3 linked regions of the Neurospora crassa OR74A genome follow. The protein of the gene in region 1 binds, or shares a complex with, the protein of each later gene. Links are inferred from orthologs where the notes say so. Each region holds a gene or a part of one and is shown on either strand. Other genes may lie near its edges. The genes, in order: NCU06767, NCU08427 and pcn.

Region 1 (3,748 bases):
AGGGGCGAACATGCCACCGCCGATCAGCTTCTGGCAAATATCCCAAGGCTTGAGGATGACGTGCTTTTCCCAGGCCTTGCTCATTTGCTTGCTTTGATCAAAATCCATGGTGGTCTGATCCAGCTTCGCTGTAGAGATCATGTTGATGATCTGCCGAATGTCCCTACCGCTACCTTCGATGAGAGCATTGACGACCGGTGGCGGGATCTTGAGACCTTCTCTGTGGCAGATGGTCATGATACGCGAGCGGATCTGGTCGACCGTGGGACGCTGAAACTTGATGTCAAAGGCGACATGATCGAAAGGCTTCATCTTTGGCAATCTGCGCTCGTTGCAAATCAAGATGAGCGGCACCTCGGTCTTCTTGCAGAATTTGGCCATAGTACCGACACCTCCGCGATCACCAGCGGACATACCGTCGACCTCGTCCATGACGAGAACAATCTTCTTCTTGCGGGCATCAGCATGCTTACCATCTCCACCAAAGAAACCTAGAAGAGATGTGTTGGTCATGACCTCACTAACACCGCTCTCGATGAGTTTCTTGCTGCGAGTGTCACTGGCGTTGCTCTCGATCACGTCGTAGCCTTCCATCTTGGCAGCAAGATGCGCCGCAGTTGTCTTGCCGATACCAGGAGGACCGGAGATGATAATAGCACGGTATCCACCTGAACCATCGGCGCCTCTCTTTTGGAAGTTGTACTTTCTAGACTTGGGCCAGTTTTTAAGCCAGTTCTGTATCTTCTCCACGTTGGCTTTGTTGCCGCAGATCTGGTTCATCGCCGTGGGGGCATACTTTGTTGTCCAGAGCTGTGACGACGGTGGGGGCAGAGCAGCAGGGACGGGACCAGAAACACCGCGAGCAGCAGCGGCCTTCTTGGCCTCTTTCTCAGCCGCCAGTCGCAGAGCCTTCTCTTCGCGATCTAGCCTCTCGGCCTCTTCACGCACCTTCTTCTCTTCCTCCTCCCGCTTCTGCTTGGCCTTCTCCGCCCCCTTTCCGGTGCCACCACCGGCGGGCATCGTCCTGATGAGGTAAAACAAGCCCTCCTCATCAATGGTCTTGATCCCATGCTCTTTGATCTTCCTCAGCTTGCTGGGTCCTGCATCGTCGCCGAGAACGACGAAATCGGTTTTGCTGGATGGCGCTCCTGTGACCTTGCCACCATAGCGCTTGACGAGTGCTTGGGCTTCCTCACGCGCGATAGTCTTGAGCAGGCCGGTGAACACAAAGGTCTTACCCGCCAGACAATCAATTTCACCTTCAGGAATGTCGGCAGTGCCCGCCATGGGGGGTGGACCCGCATTGCCAGCTCCGGCGGCCTTGGTCTTCCAGTCAAACTTGACGTTGGGGTCTTTGGGAGGAGCATCTGGTGCTTCAATTGTGGGAATATTGTCGAGGATCTTCTTGACGTCCTCGGGTTCTTCAACCGCCGCATCCTTCTTTGCCCTTGGCGCACGGGGCTTAGCGGGGGCTCCCTTCTTCTTCGCTGGCTTGACTTCTTCTTCCTCTTCGTCTTCCTCGTCACTTATAACAACCGAGGATTTCCGCTTCCCTGCCGTAGTAGTTGTAGATTTCTTGTTCGGCTTGCTGGGTCCAGGCTTGACGTCTTCGTCGTCAGACTCGGCTACGGCTGCTGTTTTGGCGCGAGATGCCATTCGCTTGGGCTTGGGGAGGAGCTCCTCGTCACTGTCCTCCTCGGCATAGTCGTCGTCCTTTTTCCTCTTGCTGCCACCCTTGAATTCCGCCGCAAATATGTCCTCTCCAGCATCGTGCTCATCATCCATGTAGGCATCGCCATCGTCATCCTTGTCGTAACTCTTGTAGGCCGTCGTGGGTTTCTTCGTAGTCGAGGTCTTCTTTGTAGTAGTCTTGGGAGGCTCTGGTGCTTTGGCAGCGGGGGTGGCTTTCTTCCGCGGGCTTGTTCGAAGCGCTACTTTTGGTTCTTCTGGCTCGGGTTTTGCGGGTGTCTTTTTCGGTGTTGACTGGGACGCAGCAGCAGTTTTTGTTTTTGAGGTTGCAAAGTACTTGGCAGCATCGGTTTCAACTCCTTTTACGGGTTCCCTAGATAGTCTGTCAGCAGGAATAGGATGACATGGAACTGAGAGGTGTTTCATAAACACTTACGCTACTTTCTTCTTTGGCGCAGCCTTGGTTGGCTTTTTGACTCTACACATGCTGGTTAGATGCTAGTTCTGAGAAGAGATGCTTTTCACTAAGCTTACTCAACAACCTCGTCATCTTCGCTGTCCTCAACAACCTTTCTTGGCCCTGCGACAAGATTGTTAATATAACGTGATAAGCTTGTGATGGCGATCATGGTTCAAGCTTACTACCCCGGGTCTTCTTCTCCTCTTCCTTCTTGGGTGCTGGTGTTGCCGGCTTAGCAGGCGGCGCGCCACCTTTTGGACCAAAAAACGAGCGAATGTCGGCAGGCATGATGGAGTATGTGAGAAGAAATCACTGGATACAAAATGATAAATTGAATGTGTCAAAAGGTTGGGAAGATGTAACAATCAGATGACACCAGCAAGCATCTTCTTATAGTGGCGGAGTTGGGAAGTAGGGACTTTTGTTCTTGGTGTCTGAGTTGTCCAGGCAGCTGTCCTTCTGCCTAACAAGTGTTGTTGAACAAAAGGCCTAGAAGGGTAAAGAGCTAACGGGTCGACTCTTGTCCCTTGTAAAGACGGAAGTAACAATTGAATGATGAGTGAGACGCGAAGGTGAAGTGGATGACGCGAGTCTGTGTCCGGGCTCTGCTCCCCTGTCGCGACTGGTGGGGCCTTGTCCTACAAGAATTCGCCAACTTGCTGCCTTGAGCTACGCCCACGCAGCTGTATTTCTTGTGAGGAGTCAATGAATGAGTCCCAGGTCCCGCTTGTCTGCTGTGTCCGGCAGATTCCATGTCGCGGCCGGCACCCGACACTTTTTGGTGGGTCACAATTTTTGGAAGTGCCGTCCGTGCCCCGTCCGCGCCCGCAGCACCTTCCATTGCAGGTAGTCGCTCTGCCCGGTCCCCGTCTCTGTGCGCGCGCTGCTTCGGGGAATCCGTATCAATCGTCGTCGGCGACCGGCATCCAATTGGACCCTCCCTCCGTCCTCCGTCCACCACTCGTCCCCTCCCCGGTCCGGTCCACACCCAAACCTTCAACACAATGAAGCACAACGCTTCCTCGGCGCTCCTCAGCGCCTTCCAGGGCCTTAGGATATCCTCGTCGGCGACTCCCTTCCGTGCCGCGTCGCTCGCAACCTCTGCCGTCCGTCGCCCCATTGCGCCGACCCCCGTTTCCGTCGCCTCCCATGTCCGCCTATTCTCTGCGACCGCCATCCAGGCTGGTTCGTGGCTCGAGCCCAACCTCAACAGAAAGAAGAAGATGATGAAGGGAAGGCCCAGAGTGCCGACGGGTGGTTCGACCAAAGGAACAACAGTGGTTTGGGGAGATTACGGCCTGCGCATGCGCGATCACCACCGCAGAATTAGCGCCCAACAGCTCAAGCTCGCCGAGGACACCATCAAGCAGAGGTTGCGTGGTCAGAAGTACCGCCTGTACAAGCGCGTTGCTTGTAACGTCGGTGTGTACGTCAGCGGTAACGAGGTGAGCAGCTGAACAACCCACAGCCCGGGAAGGCCGGATGCCGACTGTTAGCGGACATGAGGCTCACATGCATTTCCGGTGTAGATGCGTATGGGTAAGGGTAAGGGTTCGTTCGACCACTGGGCGACCAGAGTTGCCGTCAACCAGATTATCT
Region 2 (3,748 bases), about 2.0 Mb from region 1:
ACCTTGGTATCGTGAATCGCTCTGTTGCCTGGCCGGATGCGCTGCTCAAAACAACATGGGAAGAAAGAGGATGGACCTACCAGGAGCGTATTCTGTCCCTGCGGTATATGTACTTTGTCGATGACACGGTACACTTCCAGTGTCAACAAGCCACTTGGAGCGAAGACTTTGCAGCCGAGTGTCGGGACCTGGACTTGACCGCCGCTGACCAAGTGGTAAACTTCAGTATTGTCCCCAGTGAAGTTCCTCCCACGGTTGAGTTGCGGCCTAATTTGCAGTTCCAGCTCAAGCGATATCCCGAGCTGGTAGGGCAATACACATGTCGCAATATGACATTCATAACCGACCGCGTGAATGGAATCCAAGGTATCTTGAACGTGATCAAAGATCATTTCTTTTCTCAGAATGTCGAGTTTGTGCACGGGATGCCCACGGGGGAGCTCCTGCATCCAGGGCTTCTTTGGCGACCACGACGGGAGCCGAAGAGAATCCATATGGATGAGAAGACAGAAAGACCCCTGTGGCCAAGTTGGGCATGGGCCGGGTGGACTATACCAGTCTACTACGACTCGGGTGCTGACTTTTCGGCCAACAGCACTGGTCGATATCAAGCAGAAATCAGCCTTGGCCCGGACCCCTACTTTTTACACCTGAAGGCTCGCGTCGCTCGGTTCAGACTCATGATTGAGGACCGAGGCAATGAGGATGCGGTCCCTCCACTACCTCGGGTCCGGCCAACACGGTTGACGCGGTATGCCATCACACATGCGACACATCCTGAGGGAGGTGATCACGAGTGGATTGGATCCATATGGTTGTCGTGGTCCCACCGAAGAAAGTTCGTTGAACAACGGTTGAGTCTTATTTCGAAGGGTACACACGAGTTCATTCTTCTTTCAGACGCAGACAAGTTCGAGCAAGAGGAACTGGTGCAAGCGGCAACAGCCGAGAAGAGAGCCGTGGTCAACGTCATGATGATCGAACGAAAGGATGATCCAAGGACGGATGGTCGGGTTCGCATTGAGCGTGCGGGTGTGGGCCGAATGTACAGAGATACCTGGGATCGAGTTGAAGATAAGTGGGAGAGGTTTGAGTTGGGATGAGACGGAGTGATGAGGCTGGTAGCCAAAGGAGTCACTTGGTCGGGCATCCTCAATATTGGCGTCCCGACCCAGAACTGGAGTGGGAACGTTGATGTGATTGGTGGTTCAATTTCATTGGAAAGAGAGCAGTAAACTTAGTTCACTAAGAGAAGAGGATGTCCACATGTGAAGAGATTCCATCCTAGAGAACAAGGAGAGTGAAGTGAGGGTGAGCCTTTGAGGTTGTAAAGTTGAAGTTTTCAAACAGAGACCATGGATGAATGAGTGGAAGAACAGTTGAGCTTCATTAAACTGTGGCTGGGGTACCAATACTCCACTAACCGTGTGTGGCTCAGCGCCCAAAACCAATTAACCAGCCACACGAGGGGCCTGTTGCCCGACGCGTCTGTCCTTCCTCTCGACGCGTTTTCCCAGCTTCACTTTCCCGGCCTCACCAAGTAAAAAACACCACCCAACCATAAAGTTCACGTCGGCGCAAAACCTCCAGAGTAGACTTCAGATCACATCAGCCTCGACATCAGCGACCCAGCCCAATTCTACCACCATGTCGGACTTTGAAGACGAAATGGACATTGATGTCCCAGTGTCCAAGGACGTCATGTTCGCTGCCACCAACACGGCCAAGGGCAAGCGAAGCGCTGCCAACCTGCCTGTTGAAGCAGAAGACAGTCTCCCATGGTAGATATTGCCCCCCATATGTCTTCATATGCCTATCAAATATCTAACCAGCCTGTGACAGGGTCGAGAAGTACCGCCCCGTATCCCTCTCCGATGTGTCTGGCCAACAAGACATTCTCGCAACCATCAACAAGTTTGTCGACACGAACCGACTCCCCCATCTCCTATTCTACGGTCCCCCCGGTACCGGAAAAACATCGACCGTTCTCGCCCTGGCCCGACAAATCTATGGCGCCGCCAACATGCGCCAGATGGTGCTCGAGTTGAACGCTTCCGATGACCGTGGTATCGACGTTGTGCGCGAGCAAATCAAGACCTTTGCCTCCACCAAGCAGATCTTCTCCCTCGGCTCCTCCTCTTCGCGCTCGGGGCTGGCTGGTTTCAAGCTTATTATTCTCGACGAGGCCGATGCTATGACGTCCACAGCGCAGATGGCCCTCCGTCGCATCATGGAAAAGTACACGGCCAACACTCGCTTCTGCATCATTGCCAACTACTCCCACAAGCTCAGCCCAGCCCTCCTGTCGAGATGCACACGGTTCCGTTTCAGCCCTCTAAAAGAAAAAGATATTCGTGTCTTGGTGGACAAGGTCATTGACGAGGAAAACGTCAAGATTCTGCCAGATGCTACCGATGCGCTGGTGCGGTTGAGCAAGGGTGATATGCGTCGGGCACTAAACGTGCTCCAGGCTTGCCACGCGTCAAGTAAGTGGTGGTGTCCTCGTCTCGCCTTCTGTTGCGGGCCTCAAGCTAACCCAGGTCAACCAGGCACACCACTCCAACCAAAGAACGCCCCCAAGATCGCCGAAAAGGACATTGTACGGGAAACCATCACCATTCGAACCATCTACGACTGCGTTGCCGCCCCACCACCCGACGCCATCAAAAAGATTCTCAGCACACTTTTGAGCACGAGCGACGTCACAACCTGTCTGTCGACTATCAACACCCTCAAGGTTGCACAAGGTTTGGCCCTTGCCGACATTATCACCGCTCTGTCGGAAGAGATCGTCAAGCTGGAAGTCAAGCCGCAGGTCATGATCACATGGCTTGATGAACTTGCCAAGATTGAGCATCGGGTAGCGAGCGGAGCCGGAGAGGTGATCCAGACTGGTGCGGTAGTGGGTGCGATACGGAATGGTGTAGAACTGATGGGATAGGGTTGTTGTTGTTGAGACTCAAAAGCAAAAAGCTACTCGGTGTTGTTTTGTCTGCATCTATGGTTCGGAGTTTAAGCATCTGGCGTTTGGGCAATCGATCAAATTTTACCTTCTTCGACTGAAGTTACCAACTCCTCATTTCCACCTTTTATATTATGCCCCTTTCTTCCTACGGCAGGGGGATATCACGACGGAGAGCTACAATACGGCAAGAAATATAGATGGATAAGTAATCACTATTCATCGCGAGACTAGCTAATGATATCCAGCTTAATAGATGTACCTGAATCCCGCTGCTCTCCTATCACCCGACGCCGCAACAGCCGCAGTCTCTGGGTTCTCAGCCTCTTCCGCCTCGGCCCTCTCCAGCTTCTTGTTCTCCCATTTGTGCAGGTAGCGCAAGAACAACGCCAACAATCCCACAAAAAGGCAGATTACAGAATTTGCACTACCTCCAGGTATGTACTGTGGCGCCGCCGAAGCCGGGTACATGTATGACCCGTAAATACTCGCTGTGTTTCCAAACATGTTGGCAATAGCCACAGCAGCCGAGCGCTTGACCATGGGACGAGGGAACGAGTTGGCAACCCACGACAGGATGATTTGGTCTGTGGGTCTGTTAGTCCTCACCTTCACCAGGAACTACGATAAAGCAACGAAAAAACCACTCACAAGAAGAAACTGCTCCCATGGGCATCAAGAACATGGCAAAGAACCGTGCTCCCACCTTGGTCGTGCCCGTCGCCACCGCGTTTCCCACCGCAGCCAGCAGCATCAAGAAGAAGATATGCAAACTGCGATCGCCCG
Region 3 (3,276 bases), on another chromosome or scaffold:
AGCGGGTTGACCACTGTCGGCGAAGAGAACGAAACCGGCGGCGGAGCGGAGGATGCGCTGAAAGCGCTCACCGGGGAGACGTCTCCCACACGAAACTCCTCGCCAAGTCCCAACGAGCCGGATGTGTTTGAGGCGGTTGCGCTATCGGCTCGGCCCAGGAGTATGCTGACCAGGGAAGAGAGATTGGTGAAAATGAAAGAGGAGAGAGAGATGAGGGCAATGCAGAGAGAGAAGGCGGAAGCGAGTAGGGGCATGTTGAAGGAGTTGGAGATGGTGATTAATCTGAGGCCGAAGAGACATACAACCATGGGACCAGGCGGGGGAAACGGCAGGAGTGCGGCGCCGACGAGGATTTCTTTATGACGACAGACAAACTCTGCGGCATTCGCGCTGTCTTTCTTTCGGGTTTCTTTTCTTTGACCACTATAATCTTACATGGCATCAAGGCATTGCGCGCAGACAAAAGAGAGGGGCGAACAACAACGACGAGAAGGTCAGCTTGCCAGTTTTCTTGAAAAGCAACAACAGCAACAACAACAACAACTTTGGGTAGAATGGCGTTTTGACGGACATACAGACCATGGGAACATTTGAAAGCTGGGGCAGGCAAGCGAGCAATGTGGGACACAGAATTTAACGGCGTTTACACAGTTTATACAGACGATCTTGGGCGGGCATTCTGTAACAAATTCTTTTTTGAGTTGGGGGAGGGTGTAAGATAGGTGAAATAATGTAATAATCAAAATATATTGGAGAATGGAGGTAGAACAGAGTTCGCGCAGAAATGAGGGAGTCGAATAGTTGAAGTCATATCATCGGAACTTGAAGTGAGCAGCATACCTTTGGTTCGACATTGCCGTCGAGACACGATCCAAACAGAAAGAGGGGATTCAGGGCGACAGCTCCCACTGAAAACGCGAAGATTGCGCCTGAAAGCGGACTAACAGCGCTGGAGAACGGGACCGTGCACCGGGAGCTAGCCTGAAGCGGTAAATCAATTAAGCCTAACCCCGGCTCAGCGCGTTTAGCTGCCATTAGCAGGCGCGTCAAGTCGCGAAGTGGGTGTCCCGGCACCACCTGTGGTATTGGTGGTTCCTCTCTTTTTATCGTCCATTGCCTGCCTGTTGCAGCTTTTTGAACAAAACCATAACTCTTCCCAAATCCAAATCTTTTCTTCTCTCTTCTTTCTTCGTCAAACCACGAGCGCCTCTCTCTCCCGAAAGTGATACCCAGCGCGCGCATATTTTCTTCCCTCTTTGTCTTTTTTTCCCCCGTCGAGTTCGGTAATTCACATCCATCAGTATGTCGTCTCTGTCTGAGCGTGAAGCTGCCTGCTCGCTTGCTCGCTGGCCCGGCACTAGGAAGAAAAGCTGGAGAACTGGAGTGATGGGTTGCTGACTGGAGGACTACCACAACAACAGAAATGCTTGAAGCACGGTTGGAGCAGGCGTCGATCCTGAAGAAGGTATGTCATGTCCTCTTCCTGTCAAGTGCTGTCTGTTTCCTTTCCCAGCTAGAAGACCCCCACTAACTCTGTCATGATGATGACGATGATGTCCAGGTCGTCGACGCCATCAAGGACCTCGTGCAGGACTGCAACTTCGACTGCAACGACTCGGGCATCGCCCTGCAAGCCATGGACAACTCGCACGTCGCGCTCGTGTCCATGATGCTCAAGACGGAGACCTTCTCGCCCTTCCGGTGCGACCGCAACATTGCGCTCGGCGTCAACCTGACGTCGCTGACCAAGGTGCTCCGCGCCGCCCAGAACGAGGACATCCTGACGCTCAAGGCCGAGGACGCGCCCGACGTGCTCAACCTCGTCTTCGAATCTTCCGAAAACGACCGTATCTCCGAGTACGACCTCAAGCTCATGGACATTGACCAGGAGCACCTGGGCATTCCGGATACCGAGTACGCGGCCACCATCAGCATGCCGTCTTCTGAGTTTAAGCGCATCACCACCGACCTCATGGCCATGAGCGAGAGCGTCAACATTGAGGCGAGCAAGGACGGCGTCAAGTTTAGCTGCCAGGGCGACATTGGCAACGGCAGCATTACCCTCCGCCAGCACACCAACGTTGATAAGCCCAGCGAGAATATCGAGATTGAGTTGAGCGAGCCGGTTTCCCTCACGTTCTCGCTCAAGTACCTGGTCAACTTTTGCAAGGCGAGCGCGCTGTCGAGCACGGTCAAGATCTGCCTCTCCAACGAGGTGCCCCTTTTGGTCGAGTACAACATTTCGGCTAGCAGCTACTTGAGGTTCTATCTTGCGCCCAAGGTATGTCTTTGTTTGTCATTTTCTGGGTGGTTGTTTTCTGTCAGGCGTGATGCTAACTGGTTCTGATTCACAGATTGGCGACGAGGAGTAAACGCCCCATTTACCTCCAACAACCGAACCACATCTTTGTTACGAACACCACGAAACTATGCCTTCATGTATACCTCGAGTTGCTATAAAATCATGGGGAGGAGGAGAATTGCAAGTCATGTAGAAGATAAGGGGTGATGCAGTGATGAGAAGAAGAAAAGGGATATGAAGAAAAAGAAATCTGTGTTTTTGAAAGAGTCTGGCACTAGTACACTACACACAAATGTTTTAGAGGGCGTTTTGTTCTTTCTGCTGCGAAGATGAATGTTTAGGGGAGACGACGAGGTGTCAATGATTATTGCGATGGCCTCCAACAACACACCTTCACCAAGGAACCCGATGCTGTTGTCGTTTCCTTTTTTTTTTTTTTTTTTTTTTTTTTTTTTGTCTGATGGTTTCTAACATTGATATCGGCAAACTGTCCTCCCTGTATCACTATGGTAATCATCGCTTCTCGGGAGTTCAGCTTGGCGTTGAAAGTAGGTATCTCAGAAGTGGGTTCAATCACAAGTACACCAGTACTGACATCACCACTTCCCGTCAGTCGGCGTGTTTTCCAGAAATCTTCCACCCGACTGTTTTTTTTTTTTTTTTTTTTTTTTTTTTTTTTTTTTTTTTTTTTTTTTTTTTTTTTCATCCGATGAAGTTCCTGGTGTTCACCAGCTTCCCCACATTGTTCATTCAATGTATGTAACTTACCTACCCACCACCTGCGTGACGTCCCCTCCCGCCTACAACAGCCCAGGGCCCGGGGCGCGCCCAGCAGCTGAATGGACTCCGCATTCAAGTTGCCCCTAACCCGCCCTGCAGGAAACTTTTTGGCGGGGCATGGGTGGTTCCTGGGGAAAAAAAAAAGAGTCATTGACTGGCCGGCCCTGTGCCATGACCGTTAGCGGCGAATTTCT

What was found.
Region 2: the proteins of NCU06767 (region 1) and NCU08427 are in contact, whole or in part, in a crystal structure (PDB 1SXJ), measured with the Saccharomyces cerevisiae proteins. The link is inferred for Neurospora crassa OR74A from reciprocal best matches to the Saccharomyces cerevisiae genes RFC1 and RFC3. Residues at the interface, in NP_014860.1 of Saccharomyces cerevisiae: Glu635, Gln636, Trp638, Ser639; in NP_014109.1 of Saccharomyces cerevisiae: Asp120, Met122, Thr123, Asn124, Ala125, Gln127, His151, Lys152, Leu153, Pro155.
Region 3: the proteins of NCU06767 (region 1) and pcn are in contact, whole or in part, in a crystal structure (PDB 1SXJ), measured with the Saccharomyces cerevisiae proteins. The link is inferred for Neurospora crassa OR74A from reciprocal best matches to the Saccharomyces cerevisiae genes RFC1 and POL30. Residues at the interface, in NP_014860.1 of Saccharomyces cerevisiae: Lys331, Asp373, Ile374, Leu375, Ala390, Gly391, Asn394, Ala395, Leu396, Asp397, Asn398, Met399, Ser400, Val401, Val402, Tyr404, Phe405, Lys406, His418, Phe419, Ser448, Thr449; in NP_009645.1 of Saccharomyces cerevisiae: Val40, Asp42, Ser43, Arg44, Val45, Leu46, Leu47, Asp124, Leu126, Lys127, Ile128, Gly208, Lys210, Tyr211, Glu232, Ala233, Pro234, Phe249, Ala251, Pro252, Lys253, Phe254.

The regions. Positions count from the first base shown.
Region 1 is NC_026502.1:2,004,370-2,008,117, reverse strand, and holds the start of NCU06767 (replication factor C subunit 1), read right to left. Parts: upstream 2,719-3,748; 5' UTR 2,438-2,718; coding exon 2,332-2,437; intron 2,270-2,331; coding exon 2,224-2,269; intron 2,168-2,223; coding exon 2,126-2,167; intron 2,063-2,125; coding exon 1-2,062. Other genes in the region: NCU06768 (mitochondrial 54S ribosomal protein YmL47), read left to right, coding at 3,154-3,594, 3,679-3,748. UniProt on the Saccharomyces cerevisiae protein: Component of the ATP-dependent clamp loader RFC complex for the POL30/PCNA homotrimer DNA clamp.
Region 2 is NC_026502.1:4,031,771-4,035,518, forward strand, and holds NCU08427 (activator 1 subunit 3), read left to right. Parts: upstream 1-1,516; 5' UTR 1,517-1,647; coding exon 1,648-1,781; intron 1,782-1,842; coding exon 1,843-2,486; intron 2,487-2,549; coding exon 2,550-2,941; 3' UTR 2,942-3,211; downstream 3,212-3,748. Other genes in the region: NCU10392 (hypothetical protein), read left to right, coding at 1-1,103; NCU08428 (MFS transporter), read right to left, coding at 3,212-3,549, 3,614-3,748. UniProt on the Saccharomyces cerevisiae protein: Component of ATP-dependent clamp loader (RFC and RFC-like) complexes for DNA clamps, such as the POL30/PCNA homotrimer and the checkpoint clamp DDC1:MEC3:RAD17 complex.
Region 3 is NC_026501.1:9,447,331-9,450,606, forward strand, and holds pcn (proliferating cell nuclear antigen), read left to right. Parts: upstream 1-1,064; 5' UTR 1,065-1,300; intron 1,301-1,421; 5' UTR 1,422-1,423; coding exon 1,424-1,465; intron 1,466-1,561; coding exon 1,562-2,281; intron 2,282-2,354; coding exon 2,355-2,372; 3' UTR 2,373-2,727; downstream 2,728-3,276. Other genes in the region: NCU09240 (hypothetical protein), read left to right, coding at 1-363. UniProt on the Saccharomyces cerevisiae protein: This protein is an auxiliary protein of DNA polymerase delta and is involved in the control of eukaryotic DNA replication by increasing the polymerase's processibility during elongation of the leading strand. Involved in DNA repair.